Linked DNA regions of Caenorhabditis elegans. The protein of the gene in region 2 purifies or fractionates together with the protein of the main gene of each other region. This does not show direct contact. Each region holds a gene or a part of one and is shown on either strand. Other genes may lie near its edges.

Evidence for each region. The genes of interacting proteins can lie anywhere in the genome.
Region 1: the proteins of eri-5 (region 2) and eri-3 purify together in Caenorhabditis elegans (affinity purification with mass spectrometry, with the first as the bait; one study listed by BioGRID). This does not show direct contact.
Region 3: the proteins of eri-5 (region 2) and drh-3 purify together in Caenorhabditis elegans (affinity purification with mass spectrometry, with the first as the bait; one study listed by BioGRID). This does not show direct contact.

Annotation. Positions count from the first base shown.
Region 1 is NC_003280.10:1,121,810-1,128,291, forward strand, and holds eri-3 (Reverse transcriptase domain-containing protein), read left to right. Parts: upstream 1-1,724; 5' UTR 1,725-1,726; coding exon 1,727-1,832; intron 1,833-1,877; coding exon 1,878-1,951; intron 1,952-2,125; coding exon 2,126-2,297; intron 2,298-2,468; coding exon 2,469-2,650; intron 2,651-3,230; coding exon 3,231-3,575; intron 3,576-3,897; coding exon 3,898-4,064; intron 4,065-4,513; coding exon 4,514-4,594; intron 4,595-4,643; coding exon 4,644-4,819; intron 4,820-4,941; coding exon 4,942-5,175; intron 5,176-5,574; coding exon 5,575-5,663; intron 5,664-5,816; coding exon 5,817-5,927; 3' UTR 5,928-5,982; downstream 5,983-6,482. Other genes in the region: sut-1 (SUppressor of Tau pathology), read right to left, coding at 859-1,057, 1,155-1,239, 1,290-1,363, 1,424-1,444; taf-6.1 (Transcription initiation factor TFIID subunit 6), read left to right, coding at 6,183-6,335.
Region 2 is NC_003282.8:2,389,169-2,396,852, reverse strand, and holds eri-5 (Tudor domain-containing protein), read right to left. Parts: upstream 6,033-7,684; coding exon 5,604-6,032; intron 4,832-5,603; coding exon 4,594-4,831; intron 3,789-4,593; coding exon 3,495-3,788; intron 3,304-3,494; coding exon 3,192-3,303; intron 2,380-3,191; exon of another isoform or gene 2,317-2,379; intron 2,170-2,316; exon of another isoform or gene 2,107-2,169; intron 1,757-2,106; coding exon 1,419-1,756; intron 1,000-1,418; coding exon 815-999; 3' UTR 597-814; downstream 1-596. Other genes in the region: Y38F2AR.10 (Major sperm protein), read left to right, coding at 486-596; trap-3 (Translocon-associated protein subunit gamma), read right to left, coding at 6,729-7,020, 7,094-7,191, 7,248-7,394.
Region 3 is NC_003279.8:7,818,855-7,826,830, forward strand, and holds drh-3 (Helicase ATP-binding domain-containing protein), read left to right. Parts: upstream 1-1,976; 5' UTR 1,977-1,988; coding exon 1,989-2,086; intron 2,087-2,145; coding exon 2,146-2,319; intron 2,320-2,572; coding exon 2,573-2,648; intron 2,649-2,695; coding exon 2,696-2,777; intron 2,778-2,822; coding exon 2,823-3,347; intron 3,348-3,534; coding exon 3,535-3,660; intron 3,661-3,706; coding exon 3,707-3,888; intron 3,889-3,969; coding exon 3,970-4,151; intron 4,152-4,348; coding exon 4,349-4,674; intron 4,675-5,110; coding exon 5,111-5,391; intron 5,392-5,434; coding exon 5,435-6,343; intron 6,344-6,782; coding exon 6,783-6,883; intron 6,884-6,939; coding exon 6,940-7,078; intron 7,079-7,125; coding exon 7,126-7,232; intron 7,233-7,334; coding exon 7,335-7,386; 3' UTR 7,387-7,524; downstream 7,525-7,976. Other genes in the region: D2005.4 (TPR_REGION domain-containing protein), read left to right, coding at 1-286, 346-351; D2005.7 (NAM-associated domain-containing protein), read left to right, coding at 725-914, 965-1,177, 1,319-1,383; glna-3 (Putative glutaminase 3), read right to left, coding at 7,637-7,976.

The sequences.
Region 1 (6,482 bases), on a different chromosome or scaffold from region 2:
TAAAAATTTGAATTTTTGAGTGTTTCAAGTGCGCTCTGATGCGAATTTTAGAGGGAAATTTGAATTTTTTGGCAATTTTGAATTTTTGAGTGTTTCAAGTGCGCTCTAATGCGAATTTTGGCGGTAAATTCGAATTTTTCCTAAAAATTGAATTTGTCGGTGTTGCAAATCAGCTCTAATGCGAATTTTAGCGAGAAATTCGAATTTTCTAGTGTCTAAAATGCGCTACAATACAAATTTTAACGGAAAATTCAAAATTTTTCTAAAGTTTTGAAATTTCAAGTGTTTCAAGTGCGCTCTAATGCGAATTTTGGTGAAAAATTCAAATTTTCACAAAATTTCGAATTTTCAAGTGTTTCAAGTGCGCTCCAATGCAAATTTCAAATAATAATTTAAATTTTCACAGAATTCTTGAATTTTCTAGTGTCTAAAGTGCGCTCTAATGCAAATTTTAGGCGGAAGTTTATATTTTAACAAAAGTTTGAATTTCCGAGTGATTCAAGTGCGCTCTAATGCTAATTTCAGCGGGAAATTCGATTTTTTCGTAAAAATTGAACTTTTCGGTGCTGCAAATGTGCTCTAGTGTGAATTGTAGCGGAAAACTGAGATTTTCGGTTCAAAATTCAACTTTTCATAAAATTTTGAAATATTGAATGTTCCAAGTGCGCTCCAATGCGAATTTTGGTGGAAAAATCAAATTTTTACAAAATTTTGAATTTCTCCGTGTTTCAAGGGCGCTCCAATGCAAATATCGGCGAAAAAGTCAAATTTTTACGGAATTTTGAATTTCGGCTGTTCCAAATGCGCTCTAATGCAAATTTCAGCGAAAAATTCAAATTTTCCGGTTAAAAACCGTACGTGGCGGTCTCTGCATCATCATATTCTGCATCATTTGTTGCTGCTGGAGCTGAGCTGCAGCAGCGGCTCTTTTCTGCATTTCCGTCTGCTCCATTCCTCTCAAATGATGTGCCATGTAGGCTTCTTGTGATTGTGCGTAGGCGGCCGCCGCCGCTTCTGCCTCCTTGTCAACTGCCGCCGCTTTTCGGTGCTTTTGTTGCTGAAAATTGAACATTTTAAAGTAAATTCAGCATTTTTGGGTCAAAAATTGTCTTTTTTCCAGATTTTTCTATAATTTTTAGGTTTTTTTTACGAACCTGTGACGTTCTCGCCTCCACTTCTTTCTCCCACTGCTCGAATTGCTGTACATACGAATTATAAGCCTCCGTGCCAATGGAACCCCTGAAAATCATCCAAATTTGCAATTTTTCCCCGAAACTCGAGTTTCCCACTTATTATTCTCCTTCCACTGCTCGAATTGAGCTCGATAGTCTGCGTATTGCTTCTGCAACTCTTCCTCTGATACCTGGAAATAGAGAAAAATCGATTTTCTGCGAAAAATCCTTGAAAAACGATAAAAACTCACTTTTTTCGAGGCTCCCGACATAATTATCTGAAATTTAAATAACTTTCTATAGATTTTATGAGAAAAAATGGAGAAAATCGACGGAAAACTGGCGAAAATCGATAAAAAACAATTTTTTTCAAAAAAATAAATGGTGGCCGAGGAGGGGTTTTCTAGGCCATTTTGACTTTAGACTCGGCCACCACGATTTTTTGAATTAATTTCGCTGATTTTTTCGCTATTTTTATTCATTTTCTCCCGTTTTTTCTGATTTTTTCTGTTAAAATCAATAAAAATTCCTAAAAATCCGATTTTTCTTCAGGTATGCAACCCGTTCTTGTAAATAGTCGACCATTACGGGTGAAATCGCACGAATCCGAGTCAAAACTCAATTTAATCGAGCAAGAAGACCAGTTTGAAGGCGCAAATTGTGAGTTTTTAGTGCCAAATTTGATTTTAAAGCTTGTAAATTCAGATTCAAGCTCGTCTGGTGTCATAATATGCTATTCGAATGGTACCGGAGAGGTTATTACGCAGGAGGCGTTTGATGTAAGGGAATTTCCAGGGAAAATCGATATTTGGAGTCCTAAAATATGCAAATTATTGATAAAAATCGCAAAAATTGCCTTAAAAACACGACGAAAAAACAGTTAAAAATCGAAAAAAAAACCATGATTTTCCAATTTTTTTTTTGCAAAAAATTTAAAAACTCGCAATTTTCAGGATTCCGGCATTCATTTTATCTTCTCAAAAGCCACGTGTATACAATATCCGTCAAATTTCGACCCAATCGGTGTGGGATCCGTCGTTCAGATCTTCTGGAGCCGGAGCTTCGAACGGGTGGTCCGCGGGAATCATATTATAGTGCAAATCGAGAAAATGGAGGTTTATAAGTGTAAGTTTGACCCGGAAATTCGAATTTCCCGCCAAAATTCACCCTGAAACACTTGCAAATTCGAAAATTCGGTGAAAATTCAAGTTTATAACCTAAAAATTTGAATTTCCCGCCGACCGGATGCTGCAAGCTCGCTCCACCGAACAAATCATGAGAAATTCAAATTTTCAGGTTGTGCAATGCTCCGCGAGCAGGTTTTCGTCACATTCAACTCCCCGTCGACTGCTGGCGTCGCAATTGGAGTCACCGAACGAAATATTACTGTAGCTTTCCATCCGAACTGCTCGCCTGTTATTCGCTACGAGACCTTAAAGGCGCATAGCATTGGACGCACCGAATTCGAGATTAAAGATGTACGGGAATTTGAATTTTCCAACGGAAAAAATGTGCTCTATTGAGAAAATTGCGAAAAAAACGGGGTTTTGCCTTTGAATTTTTAATTGAAAAAGTGAATTTTAAATAAATTATTGCCGAAAATTAGATTTTTCATTGAAAAATTTTTTTAAAAACAATTTTCTTCGAAGAAAAATTTAATTTTGGCTGAAAAACGTGCATTCTCCACTTAAAAAAACATTTCCCACCCACCGCGTGCTGCGAGTGCGCTCCAATGCAAATTTTGCATTAGCGCGCATTTGCAGCTTGCGGTCAGCGAGAAATTCGAATTTTTGGGTTGAAATTGATAGAATTTAACTCAAAAATTCAAATTTCCCGTCAGAATACTACTTTACACAGAATATCTCTACTCAAAATTCACTTTTTTCGTTCAAAATATCAGTTTTAAACCTGAAATTTCAAATTTCCCGCGGATCGCATGCTGCAGATGCGCTCCGATGCAAAATTTGCAATAGAGCGCATTTACAGCTTGCGGTCGGCGGGAAATTTGAATTTTTGGGCTAAAAAAGCGGATTTTCACCAAAAATTCAAATTTTCCAGAGACACCGAGAGAACACGAATCGAATGGTGGACGTTATCCTGGCGGCAGTACCATTCCGCGTCGAAATCCACGGAAACGTCGATAAAATCCCATTTTTCGTCATTGAAAAGTGCCGAAATTCGCCGGGCCGATCCGGCGCCGCTGTCATCACAAAAATTATGAAAAATCATTTTATGGAAGCGAATTTCCTGCAAAATTCCGAATCGATCTACTTTGATTCGACGTCTTGCCACTCGAATATTCTCGAAAAAGTCAGCATTGGCTCACTGATTAATGTGCTTGCCGACCCCACATTTGCCACGTCATCATACAAATGGTATGGCTATGACGTCACTCTGTGTAATGTTCGTTTTTTAGTGATTTTTTACCAATTTTTACGCAAAAAATTTGAGATTTTCGTGTTTTTTCCCGCGATTTTTACCTAAAAATTGGCACTTTAACTGAAAAAATCGAATTTTCGTGGCTTATGTGCTTCCACCTTAATTTGGGGGTCAAAAATACCGATTTTAATGGATTTTTGGTTATTTTTGAGCCAAAAATTCATTAAAAGCCGTATTTTCTACCCTTGGATTATTCGTAGAGCACATTTGCCACCGGAGATGCGGAAGCTATGCCCAAATTTTGAATTTTTCACTCAAAAACTTGCAAAAAATTTTTTTTTTCCAGAATTACCTCGCCCACGCCAGCACACAGAGAAGCTTTGTACTGGAAAATAATGAGATTCTGCAAAATTGTAAGAAGCTCGAAAAATCGCCGGAAGAAGCGGAAACCACTACGAAAAATGATTTGAGATTTGTGCCACCGCAGCCGGAAAAGGGAGAGGTTAAGAAAAAGTACGGAAATCTCGAAAATTTCAGCGAAAAATTTGAAATTCCGGCATTTTTGAGCAGGAAATCCGTTAAAAAACCCAAAAATTCAAATTTCCCGCAAATTTATCATTAGAGCGCACTTACACTCATAAAAATGCCGAAATTGTGTGGAAAATTGATTGAAATTTAAATTTCTCTCCTGCAAATGCGCCCCAATGCAAATTTCTTCAGATTTTTGCATCGGAGCGCATTTGCACCATTTTTCGAATATTTTTTTGTGGCTCCTGTGCTTCTACCCTAATCTGGGGGTAGAAAATACCGGTTTTAATGAATTTTTAGCAGAAAAATTTATTAAAATCCGTATTTTCTATCCCCGATTACTGGTAGATCACATTTGCCACCGGAGATGCGGAAGCTATGCCCAAATTTTCGTTTTCAGCTTTTTTACCCGGAAAAACGCAATTTTTTTGCAGAAAAATGACGAATTGCCTGAAATTCAACTCGAAAAGTGCTCAATTCAAGCTCCGACATCTCATCCTCGACAGATGCTTCAGGTAGATCAAAAATTCAAATTTTCAGCCAAAAAATATCGATTTTTTCCAGCGAATTACCGGAACGCGAGGCCAAATCGATTATCAACTCGTATTTTATCGATCGACTTGCCGAGGGCATAAAAATCGAGAAAATCGACAAAAATTGGAGGACATTTGGTGAAATTTTGCCGAAAACTCCAAAAAAGTACAGCGAATCGCTGAAAAAATCGATTCAAAACGTTTTGGGTAGGTTTAGATGTTGCAAATGCGCTCTAATGCGAAAATCGGCGAAAATTCGCATTGGAGCGCATTTGCAGCGTGCGATCCCCGCGAAATTTGAATTTTTCGTATAAAAATCCTGTTTTCAGAACCATTTGGCCTCAACAAACCGGAAAAAGCAGCGGAAACTCCAAAAATTGTGGAATATTTCCCGAAAAATCCGAAAAAACGTGTGGAAATCGTTGAAAAACCGACGGTCGACGAGATTCGCGAGCTCTTTGGAGCACTTATGGACGCGGAGGGTTTTGCGTTGAATCAACGTGTGAAGCCGCATTTCGTGCTACCCGATACTCGCTGGAAGCCCACAGAACGGAGATATATTGGTAAAAATTGGATTTTTCGCGAAAAAATGGCGTTTTTTGCATGTTTTAGCCGGTTAAAACATGAATTTTCGAAGGTTTTTTGCCTATTTTTCCCTAAAATGGAGCATTTTTCTGATTTGGGGGTACTGTAGCTACAGTAACCATCGGATTTTTCCCTAAAAAGTAAAAATTGTGGCTTCTGTTCTTTACGCCTAATCTGGGGTCGAAAACAAGTATTTTTTATGATTTTTTAAGCTAAAAAGCTTAAAATCCATTAAAATCCGTATTTTCCAGCCCTGGATTATCCGTAGAGCACATTTGCCACCGGAGATGCGGAAGCTATGCCCAAATTTTCATTTTTCCACCCAAAAACTTGGACTTTCAGTCAAATTTTCAATTTTAAGCCCTTTTTCCGTTCAGGAATCTACGACGACGTGCAATGGACGTTTATGAGCACATTTTGCCCGAAAATCGAGGAAAATTCCGAAAATCGACCGCTCGCCGGCGGGGTAATATGGATTTTTGTCGATTGGAGCGCATTTGCAGCTTGAAAATTGTATTTTTCAACAAAAAATTCAAATTTCCCGCCGACCGCGTGCTGCAAGTGCGCTACATTGAGAAAATAGCCAATTTTCCACCCAAAAATCGATTTTTTTTTTCAGTGGTGGTACCGGCGAACCGTCCCACGGGACCATCCCGTCGAAATTGTGCAGAAAATGGAAACTCGGCGGAATATTATCAAAGATTGTACAGAATCCCCGTTTATTGAATGAAAAACTAACTCGTGTGAATTTAAAAAAAAAATATAAATAGTTTTATCGATTTTTTTCTCATTTTTCTGATTTTTTATCGCCTTTTTCGGGTTTCCCACCCATAATTTACCTATTTTAAGAGGAAAATTTGAATTTCCCGACGATTTGGTGGTGCGATCGCGCTCCAATGATAAATTGGCATCGGGGCGCGATTGCGACATGCGGTCGACGGGAAAATGAATTTTAATCTGAAATTTCAGCTCCTCGCCACTTAAAATGTCAAAAACCGTAACAATACGGCGCCCATCGCCCACAAAAACCTCAGAAGAGCCCGCTGCTCACCAGACTCCGATTTTCACACAAACCGCCGCTGAAATGCTCGGAATTACCAGCTTGAACACAGAAGCCGCCGAATTATTGGAGTTTTTGGTAAAAAATCCGGGATTTTGTGGTTTTTTTTGCGATTTTTTAGCCAAAATTCCATTAAAACGCGGATTTTTCACCCTTACATTGCAGAAAAAAATTTTTTGAGTCAAAAATTCAAATTTCCCACCGATGAAGTGCTGTAAACGCGCT
Region 2 (7,684 bases):
GATCTAGAATTTTATTTTCAATTTTTTGTAGTTTCCCAAGCCTAACCGATTTTAATAAAATATAAGAAACCCTCTTAAAAAGTCTACAAGAAGGTTTTTCCTTGCGCTTGGAGCGCAAAAGAAAAGAAAAAGGGTTATTTAGACTTAGGAACAAACCCAATTTGAATAAATCATAGGAAATCCCCAATCCGACAAGCCTAAGGGCCCGAATCCTAGTATGTTTTTCGGGCCCTTAGGCTTGTCGGATTGGGGGGATTTCCTATGATTTATTCAAATTGGGTTTGTTCCTAACAAGGGAAGTATTTCAACTTAATCCCGGTTTGGTTGTCGAGTTGGTTGTCGAGAGCTCACGCTCGTCACTGACACCAAGCCTAAGCCCTAAGCCTGACTCAGCCTAAGCCCAAGCCTAAACCTACGCCTGGTCAAAATTTTCAAAATTTTCACTAAAAGTATTTATTTTCTACCAAAAAATCGATAATTTCCAGATCCCAACATTCGTAATCCAGCCACAACAATCCGATGACCCACTTTCGGAAGATATGAAAACTACGCTAATCGCTGGAAAATACACGTGTCTGCTTGTTCCATTGGAATAAATATTGATTTATTGATTTTTATCGTAAAAAATCGATAATTTAACACGTTCACGTAAAACAAACAGATCGTTAAAACGAGGAGGAGATCGATATTATAAAATACATGACAAAAAACAGGAAAAAATTATGTTATCGATTTTGTACTCCTCTCGGGCAAGTGGATTATCGATTTTTTTTTTGCAATTTTTCACGGGAGAAATGCGAAAAAATCAATAAAATCATCCGCTATCCTTATCGTCGCTAACATTTCCATCATCATCATCCTCTTTCTGGGTACGTAAATCGTCGGATCGTTCAGTGAAAAACGGCGACGGCGACGGGATTTTATCGAGCAAATTTTCGTCGTCTTCGTCGCCGGCGACCCGAATCTGCGAGAATTGCAGTTTGCCGGTTTCCAGGAATTCTGAAATGATTGGAAAATTATTGATTTTTACGATGCTCCGATATATTCCGCACATGGGAATTATCGATTTTTGACGAAAATTCGCGCGAATTAGCTATGGAGCGCATTTTCCCCTGAAAATCGATCGAATTGTTCCGCAGGAGAATTTTTGTCAATGGAGCGCATTTGGGACACGAGGCCGCCGGCGCGGGAAATTTGAAATTTTGCAAAATCGGCGAAATCCCATGAAAATTTCGAATTTTTCAGTTAAAAAACCAAAATTTCAGGTGTTCTCGGCGCGAAATTTGAATTTTTGAGTTAAATAGTGAAGTTTTGGTAAAATTCTGTGATTTCGGGTAAAATTATCAATGGAGCGCACAGGAACATGCAAAAATTGCATTTTTGTCGCTTTTCCAGAGAGAAATCCGTAAATTTCTCACCCATATCGGGTCCGACAACGATCGGCACGTCATAGGGTACAATTTCACGCCAAAAATGTGTATTCCACTCCATTTCGCTGTCGGCCATCGATAAATCGTCGTCGAGAAATCGGCCAATTTCAATGCAAGCCGGCGCGATTTTTGTGTGCTCAATGTGCATTCGGTGCAAATTTTTGAGCTTCAGGATGCCACGTGTTCCCAGATCCACGTAGCGAAGAGCCACGTTGGCGTTCGGCAAAAAATCGATAATCTCGCAACGGAGCCATTGAGCCGACGATTTTTGGCGATTTTTGATGGTTGCCATCACGTAGGTTCGGCCGGTTTGGAGGGCGAATTTTCTGGAAAAAATTTAAATAGAAAAATCGGTTTTTCGCTGGTGAAAATGCGCTCTATTGAGAAAAACTTCAAAAAATCGATTTTTGGCGGAAAATTCAATTTTTTCGCTGTTGAAAATGCGCTCTATTGAGAAAAACTTCAAAAAATCGATTTTTGGCGGAAAATTCAATTTTTTCGCTGTTGAAAATGCGCTCTATTGAGAAAAACTTCAAAAAATCGATTTTTGGCGAAAAATTCAAATTTTTCGCTGGTGAAAATGCGCTCTATTGAGAAAAACTTCAAAACATCGATTTTTTGCGGAAAATTCAAATTTTTCGCTGGTGTAATCGCGCTCTGTTGAGAAAAACTTCAAAAAATCGATTTTTGGCGAAAAATTCAATTTTTTCGCTGTTGAAAATGCGCTCTATTGAGAAAAACTTCAAAAAATCGATTTTTGGCGAAAAATTCAAATTTTTCGCTGGTGAAAATGCGCTCTATTGAGAAAAACTTCAAAACATCGATTTTTTGCGGAAAATTCAAATTTTTCGCTGGTGTAATCGCGCTCTGTTGAGAAAAACTTCAAAAAATCGATTTTTGGCGAAAAATTCAATTTTTTCGCTGTTGAAAATGCGCTCTATTGAGAAAAACTTCAAAAAATCGATTTTTGGCGAAAAATTCAAATTTTTCGCTGGTGAAAATGCGCTCTATTGAGAAAAACTTCAAAACATCGATTTTTTGCGGAAAATTCAAATTTTTCGCTGTTGAAAATGCGCTCTATTGAGAAAAAAGCAAAAACATCGATTTTTAGCGGAAAATTCAATTTTTCACTGTTGAAAGTGCGCTCTATTGAGAAAAACTTTAAAAAATCGATTTTTGGCGAAAATTCAAATTTTTCGCTGTAGAAAATGCGCTCTATTGAGAAAAACTTTAAAAAATCGATTTTTGGTAGAAAATTCAATTTTTTCGCTGTTGAAAATGCGCTCTATTGGGAAAAAAGCAAAAACATCGATTTTTGACGAAAAATCAAATTTTTCGCTGTAGAAAATGCGCTCTATTGAGAACAACTTTAAAAAATCGATTTTTGGTGGAAAATTCAATTTTTTCGCTGTTGAAAGTGCGCTCTATTGAGAAAAACTTTAAAAAATCGATTTTTGGTGGAAAATTCAATTTTTTCGCTGTTGAAAGTGCGCTCTATTGAGAAAAACTTTTAAAAATCGATTTTTGGTGGAAAATTCAAATTTCTCGCTGTTGAAAGTGCGCTCTATTGAGAAAAACTTCAAAACATCGATTTTTGGCGGAAAATTCAATCTTTCGCCGTTAAAAATGCGCTCCATCGATAAAACAGCGCCAAGTTCAAATTTTCGGCGAACTTATCGATTTTTTAGCATAATTTTTCAGGTTTTAATCGATTTCCGCATATTTTTCACATTTTTCACTGAAAATTCGAAATTTTCTAACATTTCTTCCATCTCTAGCGGCCGCTGATTCTTGAGGTTCGAGTAGAAATCGTCGATTTTTTGCTGATTTTCCGAGTTTTTTACGAGCTGCTCGAAAATCCAATGTTCATTATCTGAAAAAATTCGAATTGTGCTCAGTACGATGCTCCGCTATCCCTTTTCTCATTGGAGCGCGCTTGCACAACATGCGGTCGGCGGGAAATTTCAAATTTCTGGGTCAATTTTCGCCATTTTACTCAATTTTTCGCTTTATTTCGCGAGTTTAAGCAGAATTTCGAGCAAAATTGTTCAATTTCCACCGTACCAGACATCTTTTCCGGTGCCAAAATCGGTGTAACGTGCATTTCCCAGGGTGATACGGTGCAACTCGGCTCGAGCATCGCCCAAAAGCTTCCATCGGCTCTTCGGAATTGCTCGAGTGCCGTGTCATTCCATTCTGCCACGTGGCACTGCAGTATATCCCAGTCGGCGTCGTCTTCACGGTAATCGGCAGGCGGCTCGTGAGCCCAGTCGGCTGGGAGGTCCCGGCGGAACTCTTCGAGAAGAATCACGTCGAGGTGGTCTTGCTCTTTGTCGAGCTCCTCGAGCTTGGGATTGACTGGAAAAAAATTTTCAAAAAAAAAAAAAATGTTTTTATTTTTTTTTTTTTAACCAAAATTTTTCAAAATTAATTTTTTTCTGAAAATTCATATTTCGACTGATTGTGTCTCACTGAGAGCTTCAATTTGAATATAATCATGACCTTTTTTGCTAAATCTTTAAAAAAGTTGGGTCCCGCCACGAAAACCTCAGGGGTACTGTAGTTTTCGCGGTGGGACCCGATTTTTTGTTCAAATTCTAGCAAAATTGGTCATTATTATACTTAAATTGAAGCTAGAAATGTAGTGAATTTGATTTTTACAAAAATTTTTGAATTTTTTATTCCTTTTTTGACATTTTCTATGAAAAACTAATCCAAATTTCGATTTTTTTTTAGATAATGTTTGAGAAAAATTAGTTTTTTATGACATTTTAAACACATTCCATGTTTTAAACCAAAAAAATAGCGGAAAAACCAAAAATTTCGGGGTTTCGTGGCGAGACCCAAATTTTTCGGAAATTTTTCATTTTTTTAAAACAAAACTATGAAATTCAAATTCAGCTGTTTGAATGCTTCCATTTAAGTATAATCATGACCAGATTCCATTGATTTTGAAAATTTTCCGGGTCCCACCACGAAAAACTACAGTAACCCCGGGGATTTTCGTGGTGGGACCCAATTACTCGTAACCCATAGTCATGATTATACTTAAATCAAAGCTCTCGGCGTGCTGAATTCGAATGTTATATAAACTTTGTTCGGGTTTTTCGGGTTTTTGAAATTTTCGCGAAATTTTTTTTTTCCAAAAATTCAAAAATTATACCCATAAAATTAGTGGGAAATTGAGAGACCATAACATTTTGCATAGAAACCGCGCAAATCTCCTCGATCGCCACTTTTTTATCGATTTCTGTTCCATTTGGCAATCCGTACAGGTTCACGAGAAGAGACGGGCGGTCCGAGCGAAAATCCACGTCACACTGGTTGGCGGTAATTTGAAATTTTGCAAATTTAGAGACAATATTTCGAAATTCGGTGCACTGGGTGTCTGTCCATGAGTCCTGAAAAAATCGATAATTTTTGAAAAATCAATAATTTTCAAAAAATCGATTTTTTTTTTGTAAATTGTTTAAAAACATTTTTGGCGGGCAATTCAAATTCAGATTGCGTGTTGCAAGTGCGCTCCAATGAAAAATCTCCGTTTATTGTTGGATTTTTTCGTATTTTTCAGGTCAATTTTAGCTGAAAAATAGCATTTTTAGGTTAAAAAACCATCAAAAACCCCAATTTCCTCTCAAAAATTCAAATGTCCGGTTTTTCTCAATGGAGCGCACTTTCAATATTTCGTTTGAAAATTTGAATTTTCAGATGGAAATCTCTATTTTATAGTTTTCCAGTCAATTTTTTACGATTTTCATCAGGAAAAATGCACATTTTTGCCATGGAGCGCATTTGCAACGGCGGGAAATTTGAATTTCTCACGGGGTTCTGGTCTTCTTCCTCGAATTTTTCGCGCTCCATTGACAATCGCCTGCCGGACAACGCGTGGGAAAGCCGTGTACTCCACACGGACAAACGCATTAGTTTTATAACTAAAATCGAACCGCGACGCGACACGCAACGCGCCGTAAATCTACCCCATATATGGCCGAGCCAAAATGGCCTAGTTCGGCAATAACTCTTCCATTTCAATAATTTATGAGGTAAGCCAGCCAGAAATCCGTGGATTTTCATCAGGAAAAATGCACACATTTTTGCTCTATAGAGCGCATTTACAACATGCGATCGGCGGGAAATTTGAATTTCTGGGTTAAAAAGTGCTAAAAATCAGACCGAAAGGTGCACCAAACGTCCCAAAGTGCAATGCATCGCCTGCCATGGGTGAAATTTGAGATTTTCATCAATTTGAAACAGACATTTCCACGAAACATTAGCAGTGACCGCAGAATCGATGAAAAAAATCCGGGCGGCCTCGATAAGCTCCAAATTTTTCAAAATTAAACATCGAGCGAATACACGTGGCCGGAGCGGAGCCATCGCCATGTTTCCCGCCGAAAAATCGATAATTCGAGTTGTTAGGCGGTACGGTTCGCGAATCAATAATTGATCATCGGTGACATGATCGACGGGACGGCAGAAAAATGAAGATGGTGATTCGATTCGGAGCAGCTCGACGACTGCCGAGCTTTTTAGAGCTATTCGTCGAATCTCTGGATCTGGAAATTCCGGGTGATACGTTTCGTAGGGCTCCTCCGAGAGCATCTGAAAATCCGATTTTTTGATGGAAAATTTCTTGCATGGGAAATTTGAATTTTTCTTCTTTTTTTAAACACTTTGTTACTTAAAAATCACTAAAAATCAATTAAAATTCAAGTTTCTCGCCGACCGCATGCCTCAAACGCGCTCTAATGAGAAAAACTTTGTAAATTAATTTTTTTTTCATTTTTCACAAATTTTGTAACTAGACAATCATATATTTTAACAGAATCCCGTGTTTTTCAACTAATTATCACTAGAGCGCATTTGCAGCACCTGGTCTTGAGGTGAAAATTTAATTTTTGGTGTTTTTCGCTGGCGAAAATCGATTTTAATCGTTTAATATTAATTATAATCGCTGAAAATGGTATGAAATATGGCGTTTTATCGAAAAATGCTGTTCTTAATGTTAAAAATCAGAAAATCGCGCTAAAATAATTGTTCAGTGGAGCGCAGTTGCCCCAACAGCTGTGTAGTTCTCTTGGACGAGCAGAATCATATTAAAAAAGCAGCTTGGACTGGATTATAAACCTGAAATTCTTGGGAAAAAAGAAAAAAATAAACATTTTTAGTTTTTGGGATTTATTATACAAAAAATCTGCGGGTGGGTGGTGGGGAAAAATAAATTAAACTTTCGTTTTTTATGATAAATACATGAAACTTTTTGAGAAAAAAAAGGGGGGTCCCGTTTGTAAAGATCGCTTAGTTCTTAGCGGTGGAGAGGAAGGCGACGAGTCCGGCGGATCCGATGGTGGAGATGAGCAAGTTGAAGACTGGAGCCACGTTGGCGAGCAAGAAGAACGCCGAGACGAGCATGATGGTCAAGTAGAGCGAGTTTGTGTAGAAGACCGACAAGTAGGTGGATTCGGTGTCGGCGACCTCGTTTTTGCGGAAAAGCGCGCGCTCCTCCTTCTCCTTAACAGTCATTTTCTTGTCAGCAGCATATTGTCCGCTGATCTCGCGTTCCACAGCTGATCCGCGCTTCATCACGATTCTGAAAATTTTGGGGGTTTTTATTGGGGTGAAAAATCGATTTCCGATTTTTAAAAATTCAAAAAAACCCTCACTGATGCTTGAGAAGGCACTTCTGGTTTTTGCAGGCCAGGGACAGGAGGTAGGCAGTGCCGACGGCAGAGAGTCCCCACACGACAAGCGAGTCTTGGATCTGAAAATTTAATGCGTTTCACAAGGTTTTCCTAGCCGATAGAATTTCCGGCTAACCTCCATCTGGTGAACTCCGTAGAAGAGGTAGAGCGGGGCGATGGAGATGATCAACGCGTTGAGGTAGAAGAAGAGGTTTCCCTTGGTGGAGCTGGTCGCCGAGTAGCTCGAGAGCAGAAGTTCCTCTTCCTTGGTGAGCTTGCCCATGGTTTTTCGATTTTCTGAAAGGAAAATGCTTTAAAATGCATTTAAATGTTTAGTGGGAAGTAAAACGGTATTTTCGGGGGTATTTTTCCACTATTTTAGGAAGAAAATGCCTAATTATCAATGAAAATTCAAACAAAATTAATATTTATTAACATTTCCGCCGAAAAAATCGTCAAAAATAAATATAAATTGAGACGAAAACCCCGCCACTCTCCAAAAACTACAACGTGTCTCCGTCGAGTCTCTCTTCGTGTGCATCTGTGCGTCACGGTGTTTGCGTACCGACCTGC
Region 3 (7,976 bases), on a different chromosome or scaffold from region 2:
AGATCATATGGATTCAGAAACTGCTGGTAATTGTTCCGATTCTGTGATCAACGATGAGCCGGTGGAGGCTGAAGACCCCGACAATGTGAAAGTTGAACGGAAAGAAGAGGACGAGTCAATTGACGGAGTATCATGCGATAACGAGAAAATCCCACTGAAACCCTTAGCACAATGTGGCAAGAACTGTTTGTACGGCTTCTACCCGGACGATAAGTGGGCTCTTTTGAATGAGCCAGTAATCAATGAAATTTATCGGCTACGCGAAAAACACGGCTACTCGAACAAGGTAATTTATTTTTTTAGAAATGCCGTTAAATAATTCCAATAACTGAGTTTATTTTCCAGATGTAATCTTCGTGCAATACTTGTAACATATCACAAATGCATTCATCATCGTGATGAGTTCAACAGTTTTATTCAAAAATTTTGAAAATGCTCAAGTGACGAACTTTTTTTCTTTTTTTTTTTGTTAAGATTATTTCATTTCCCTTTAAAATTTTCTCTATAGAGCTATAGTATCGTTGTTCGTGTTTTCTAATAAACGCTTTAAAGTTTTGTTCTATAGGTTTTTATTGTTATCCAATATTGGTTTTAACCAGAAATATGCACTACATGTTATGACACTTTTCATATTAGTATTACTTTTTATTGTTTAACACGTTAACTTTACCGAGGTTTTGCAGCCCTACCCGTGTCCTATTTTATGCTGATATTCATCTTCCAGATGGGCAACAAAAAAAATAAATCAAGTGGGTCCCGAAAGAATCATTCTCAGCATTATTCTCAGCCAACAATGACCGTAGAGGAGTGCTTGAAGGAGTACGAGAACACAGGAAATTTCGCCAAGTTCTACCCGAATTACATTTTCCAACGGTTGCCAAAAGAGTTCCTCCAAAAATACTTAGCCTCTAAAAGTTCGTTTTACAAGAAAAGTTGACAAGTTTAACAACCTTCGCAATTTCAGAAAATAAAAATATTTCTAAAAATCCATCACTAAGTTGTTCAAACTCTACATTGGACAATATGAAAGAGACGTCGAAAAGTATCTATGTGGACGTGGATCCAGATGATCCTCTCTCCGATGAAGCATTCACTGCTCAACATCCTGTGGAAGAATGGTTTCGACTTCCTCTCGAATGGCGCATTGAGATCGAAAGGCAGCGTTTTGTGAAAAAAGGTATTTTATTCATGGCTAGAAAATTAATCCTACAAAAAACCGCTTAAAACTCGATTTTTGAGTAAAGAAAGAATTTAACAATTTTTCATATGGATAATTTATTAAATATCGAAAAAAAGCATTTCTCTTATTTTCTTTCAGAACGCGCCGACCGTGCTGCTGAAGCTGCCAGGAACTCCGCTGAACTTCTAAAGCCAGACGCTTAAAAGTGCATCAACGATTCGTTTTAACGTTGTAAAATGTTATTTTCGATGTTTTCTTTTCATCCAGTTATTCGTATTAATTTGCCATTCATCAGCTGAAATTCATCCCAACAACCTGCCGAAAGAATTTTATTTTCTGTTCTATCTTTCAAATTTCCTTTTCTTTTCTTCATTTTCTGTTGGCAGCTGCTCGTATTTCCATCACCGGTTCCCGTGAATTTGCAGTTTTAATGAAAGTTTTATTCTTGTTTTAAATATTATGATTTTATTTTCTCACAAGGTTGAAGAGCCAAAACATTTATTTATGTTGTAGAATTTAAATACTAATTTTATTGATTCCGCCGTTGCTCATCGTTAAATATTGAATACTGAAACCAAAACTTCCCTTCCTGACACTACTTGCCCTTCTTTAACACTAATAATGGTTTTCTGTTCATTCATGTATTTCCCTCTTAACTTTTTATCATTGGCAAGAGGAAGAGAAAATCATTAATGTGAAAACCTCTGCCACACTTGTTTATATTTTGTGCGCCAGTTTGAACAACATGTCTTTTTGTCGTTTTGTCGGCAAAATTTAATTTAATAATTTCCTACAGATATTTTCGATAATGCAACCAACTGCAATACGTTTAGAAGATTACGACAAATCGAAGCTTCGCCTTCCGTTTGAGTCTCCATATTTTCCAGCGTATTTTCGTCTTCTCAAGTAAGAAAATTATACATTTCCCCCCTTGCACTCGATCAAATAATTAAATATTATTTTAGATGGAAATTCCTTGATGTATGCGTGGAGAGTACACGAAACAACGATATCGGATATTTCAAACTATTTGAATCGCTGTTCCCGCCAGGAAAATTGGAAGAAATTGCCAGAATGATCATTGACGAGCCAACTCCAGTTTCTCATGACCCGGACATGATTAAAATCAGAAATGCCGAGTAAGACGACAGAGAAATCATGTATTAGAAAAACGTTCCAACGAAAACAATTTCTTCGGTGTTATCTATATCTGTGACGGCAAGGATGTCGAAACGGAGTTTTGAAAACATAAAATTGTTTTAATGACTTAAATTTTTATAAAAAGTTTAAATATCGTGAGTTTTCGAGTCACAGAAGCTTAAAAGGTCAAAAAAAAGTATTATGGTGTCTGGAATTTTCGTGCCATATTTTTTTTAAATACCAATTTTTCAGTCTCGACGTTAAAATCAGAAAACAGGCAGAAACATACGTTACATTGCGTCACGCACATCAGCAGAAAGTTCAAAGGGTAAAAACACTTTTGAAAAACATTTAATAAAATAATTTTTATTTCAGAGAAGATTCTCGGAATGTTTTTTGAACACTGTTTTGTTCGATGAGAAGGGACTCAGAATTGCTGACGAAGTGATGTTTAACTGTAAGTAATCGTGAAATTTCAAACGTTTTGAACTGTAAAATTCAGACGATAAAGAACTTTATGGATACTCACACTGGGAAGATCTTCCTGATGGCTGGTTAACTGCTGAGACTTTCAAAAATAAATTCTACGATGAAGAGGAAGTTACCAATAATCCATTTGGATATCAGAAGCTTGATAGAGTGGCTGGAGCTGCACGTGGAATGATTATTATGAAGCATCTGAAATCGAATCCACGTTGTGTTAGTGAAACTACAATTCTCGCTTTTGAAGTATTTAACAAAGGTAATCATCAACTATCAACTGATTTGGTCGAAGATTTGCTAACCGAAGGACCAGCGTTCGAGCTGAAAATCGAGAATGGAGAAGAGAAAAAATATGCTGTGAAGAAATGGAGTCTTCATAAGACTCTCACCATGTTTCTCGCAATCATCGGATTCAAATCGAATGACAAAAAAGAGAAAAATGAACACGAAGAGTGGTATTACGGATTTATTGATGCAATGAAGAATGATCCAGCTAATCGAGCGGCTCTCTACTTTTTGGATAAGAACTGGCCAGAAGAGCTTGGTAAGTTTTTTTTTGTTTGGAAATTAAATAGCGGCAAACATTTTGTACTTCAGATTTCAAAATACTGAAATTATTTTAATACAATTTTAAATAATGCCTAACTTTTTATTATTCGGCCATCTCATGCTATTTGATGTATTTTACGAATTTCGATTTACAATCTAGGCTTAACTAAATCAATTTTCAGAAGAACGAGAGAAAGAACGTGACCGTATCCGCCTTACCCTACTGAAAAGTCAGCGGACTAACGAGGAAGCTGTCGGCGAGGATGTTTGCACGACAATACGTCCACAACCGAAAGACAGCGGCTACAGTAAGATTATATTTCCAACATTTAGTGCAAATTTTCCTTTTTCCAGATCCAGATGCGGTGGTTACTGAACTTGTATTGCGTACTTATCAAGAAGAACTTGTCCAACCGGCTCTCGAAGGAAAGAATTGTGTTATTGTTGCTCCGACTGGTTCTGGTAAAACAGAAGTGGCAATTTATGCGGCTCTCAAACATATTGAAGAACGAACATCCCAAGGAAAGCCTTCCAGAGTATGTTTTTTTTTTAATTTTCTCGTCAAGTTCTAATATTATTTCCCCTTGATATAGAAGCAATAAAATTTTATTTTCCAGGTTGTGCTCCTTGTGCCGAAAATCCCGCTTGTCGGTCAACAAAAAGACAGATTCCTGAAGTATTGTAACGGAATGTACGAAGTTAATGGTTTTCATGGATCCGAGAGCAGTGTCAGTGGAACAGGACGTCGTGATGAAGTAATTGCTACTCATGTATCAGTTATGACTCCTCAAATTCTGATGTGAGTTAATGGAATCAGGTTCATTAAATTCTGAATCGAAAATTTCTGATATAACTCATTAATTTTTTATTTTACTTTTTTTTTTCAAAAAAAATTATAAATTATAAAAAGAGTGCAATTTTAATCAAGATATATAAAATGTTTAATTTTTTCGGATCGAGCTCTGGTTTTTATAATACCCGAACTAATTATTTCAGCAACATGCTTCAATCGGTACGTCAAAATGAGCGTTTGTATGTGAGTGATTTCTCAATGATGATCTTCGATGAAGTACATAAAGCTGCAAAAAATCATCCATATGTGTTGATTAATCAAATGGTTCAAGAATGGAAGTATGAAAAACCACAAATCATTGGTCTGACAGCTTCATTGAGTGTCAAAGTTGATGGACAAAAAGACGAGAATCAGATGCTTAATGATATTTATAATATGCTCGCATTGATCAACGCTCCACATTTGAGTACAATCACTCGCCAATCGAGCATAGATGAGCTCAATGAGCATGTTGGAAAACCAGATGATTGTAAGTTTGTTCTCAAGTTGGAAATTTAGTTTTTTTTTTCTTAAAAACCATAAATAAATTTTAAAATACAAATAAGATAAATTTCTAGGTGTATCAAATTATAAAAATATTTATTTTCAAGTTTACACAGTTCAAAAAAATTTGAAAATTGTAAATTGTTCTTGTAAAATGAAAAATGGTTTCTAAATGAAGTGTTGTAAACAGGAATTGAAAAAAAAAACCTTCGGAAGCTGAAAACCCACTTTAGAATCAAAACCACGGTATTGAAATTTCCTTTGTTTTCCCTTATTTCTCATGGTATTGTTTAACTTCAAGCTAATCCGGCAATTTCAAAGTAAATTCCTCATTTACTCTATTCCAAAAATAACCAATTACTTGTTTTCTCTTCGGAATATGAAATTTCATGAGAGAATTATTTCAAAAAAATTCTTCTCAGCTGTCGAACTATGCTTGCCTGCCAAAGAAAATATCCTTCGAGATTACATCGAACGATACCTTAACCACGCCCATGGCAAATTTCTCGAAGAATTAGCAAGCATGTCTAAATCAACTGGCCGCAACAACACTATCCCACCGAATATGATTAACACGTTTAAAAAGAATCAACCGAAGAATTATGAGTACTACGATTCATTACTTCAAGGTATTATTCAAGAGTTGAACAAATTGAATGTTCCTGAGAAATGGAATTCTCAAACTTGGGCGAAATACATGAAGGTTTGATTCATTTTCAAAGATTCTTGTAAATGAAATGATTTAGGTATATCTCGAAGCTCGCGGAATCGTTGATCTGATGCCTGCGATGGTTGCATTCAAATACATGGAAAAAGCTATTGGGAAATTGAATGAAAGTCATTCAGAGACAGTCGAATACAGCACCTTCATCAAAGACCATGATACTTTGAAACAAACAATTCAATCCGTTGAACCAGAAATTGTTCTACGTCTCAAGAATACACTCACCAATCAGTTCCACGTGGCTCCTGAATCTCGAGTTATTATTTTCGTAACACAAAGAAGCACCGCTCAACGTGTCAGTGATTTCTTGAACGAATCTAAAGTTTTAGATCAATTTGGTAATTATGGTGAACAAATGGTTGGATATGTTCTCGGAACAAACAAACAGGGCGCTGTACAGCAGACTTCACAAGAACAACAATTGACACTTGATAAATTCAACAATGGAAGACTTAAAGTAATTGTGGCAACGTCAGTTGTTGAAGAAGGTCTCGATGTTACTGCATGTAATCTTATTATCAAGTACAACTGTTCATCAGGATCAGCCATTCAACTTGTTCAACAAAGAGGTCGTGCACGTGCCAAAAACTCTCGTTCTGTGCTTTTATCAGTGAAGAGTAGTATCAATGAAACCGAGACTAACGCGTTAATCTCTGAAAAGTATATGAGACTTTGTGTGAAGAAGATCACAGAGAATGGCGAGAAACAATTGGCTGCAGAAGTGAAACGAGTCGCTGAACTAAATGCGGCTGAAAGGAAACGAAATCTGGAAGAGCAACTCAATTTGAGATTACGACATGAGAATAAGATTTATAAATTGATGTGCAGCAATTGTTCAAAAGAGTTCTGCAAGAGTATTTATATCAAAAAAGTGTTCTCGAATTACATGGTGTTCGATCCAAGTGTATGGAGATTTTTGCATGTTGAATCGGTACGTTTGATGAATGCTCAAAAACCGGAGCCGGCTTGTCGAAAATATAATTTTAATGAATTTTGTAAGATTATACTCGTAGACCAGGGCTGTAAAACCATTTTCCCAAAAAACCGAAACCTAAAATTTCTCAAAAAAAAAGACAATTAAAAAAATTTCTGTCACTAAAAAATCGTTTTAAAGTAAAAAAATCGCTTTATTCATCTGAAATTAACTTATTCAGGTTGAAACATTTATAAAGTGCTTAAAAATTACCTGGAAGTGTCGAATTGCCGATTATCAAATTGCTGAATTTCCGAACTTTGCTTTCCGACAATTGACTTTCAGGCTATTTTTGTGCAATTTCCAGATGTTTCAAGTAAATGTTTTTTTCAGCTAAGCCGACTTCTGTTTATCATAGAAACGCAATTTGTGATTGTGAAAAATTGAATTTTTTCAGAAGCGAAAGGTGAGTAAGTACTTGAGTGAGGACAATCAACCACTCAGTGATATCAAATGCTTCCATTGCAAGTTGGATGTTGGAAGAGCTTACAAAATAAGGTAATTGAAATTTAATTTATTTAAAAGTCGTTTCTTATAAAACAACATTTCTACAGAGGAACCTATTTGCCGCAACTCAGTGTCAAGGCGTTGACATTTGTTCAAGAATCAGACTATTCCTCGATGACAAAAGCAAAATGGTCGGATGTGGAACAGGATCTGTTTTATATTTCAGAAGCAATCGAGGATGACTTTGTAAGATTTTGGTCACTTGATTATTTAAAAATTGTACGAATTTACAGAGAATCATGTTGAATGCGCTCTCCGATACTGAAGAAAATATCGAAAAGAAGATTGTTCTTGATTTGGACTCACGACAACACAATAAGCAACTCGAGATGAAGAGATTGTAAGTGTGCTCTGGATTGTGATTCCTTTTCTGTTTAACACTTTCGAAGCTCAAAAAATACGGATAAACTCTCTATTATCATAATAATGCTTTCATTTTCAGCCATATTCAACAAGAACCACCAACGAAGGGAGTTGCACCAGAAGCTCAATGATCATCTCAAGGATTTCCAACTTGTACGAGAATTCAATTTTTCTTAATCTTTTTTGTTATTTTAATATCATTCATCGTGTTCTATTTACCGAGCAATTTTCATTCGATCTCTTGAATAATATAAAGCTCTATTTAGTTTTATTTTTTTAATTGATCTTTCAATTTTTCTTCCAACAATTTGACTGTAAATTAACAAATGACAAAAAATGGAATGATTTATTAATTTAAATCAATTTCTAGAACATCTATTCCTAATCATCTTGTCCTTTAAGATTGTAAACCGTAATTGCCTCTTCTAGCAGCTTAACACAAGCAGTATGATTAAAATGTTTAGCATCATCCAATGGAGTTCTATCATATCTATCACATGGATTCGGATCCTCTTGCCATTTACTCAATACGTATTCCAATGTGACAACGTCTCCTTCAGCAGCAGCCACGTGTAAAACTGTTCGATCATCATAATCTTTGCAATGAATATCATGTCCCATCAAAAGGAATCGTTTAATTGCAGCAATATCACCCAATTTTGTAGCATACATGAAACGATTCTGACCGTCATGATCATCTTTCAATTGACGACGAGGATCG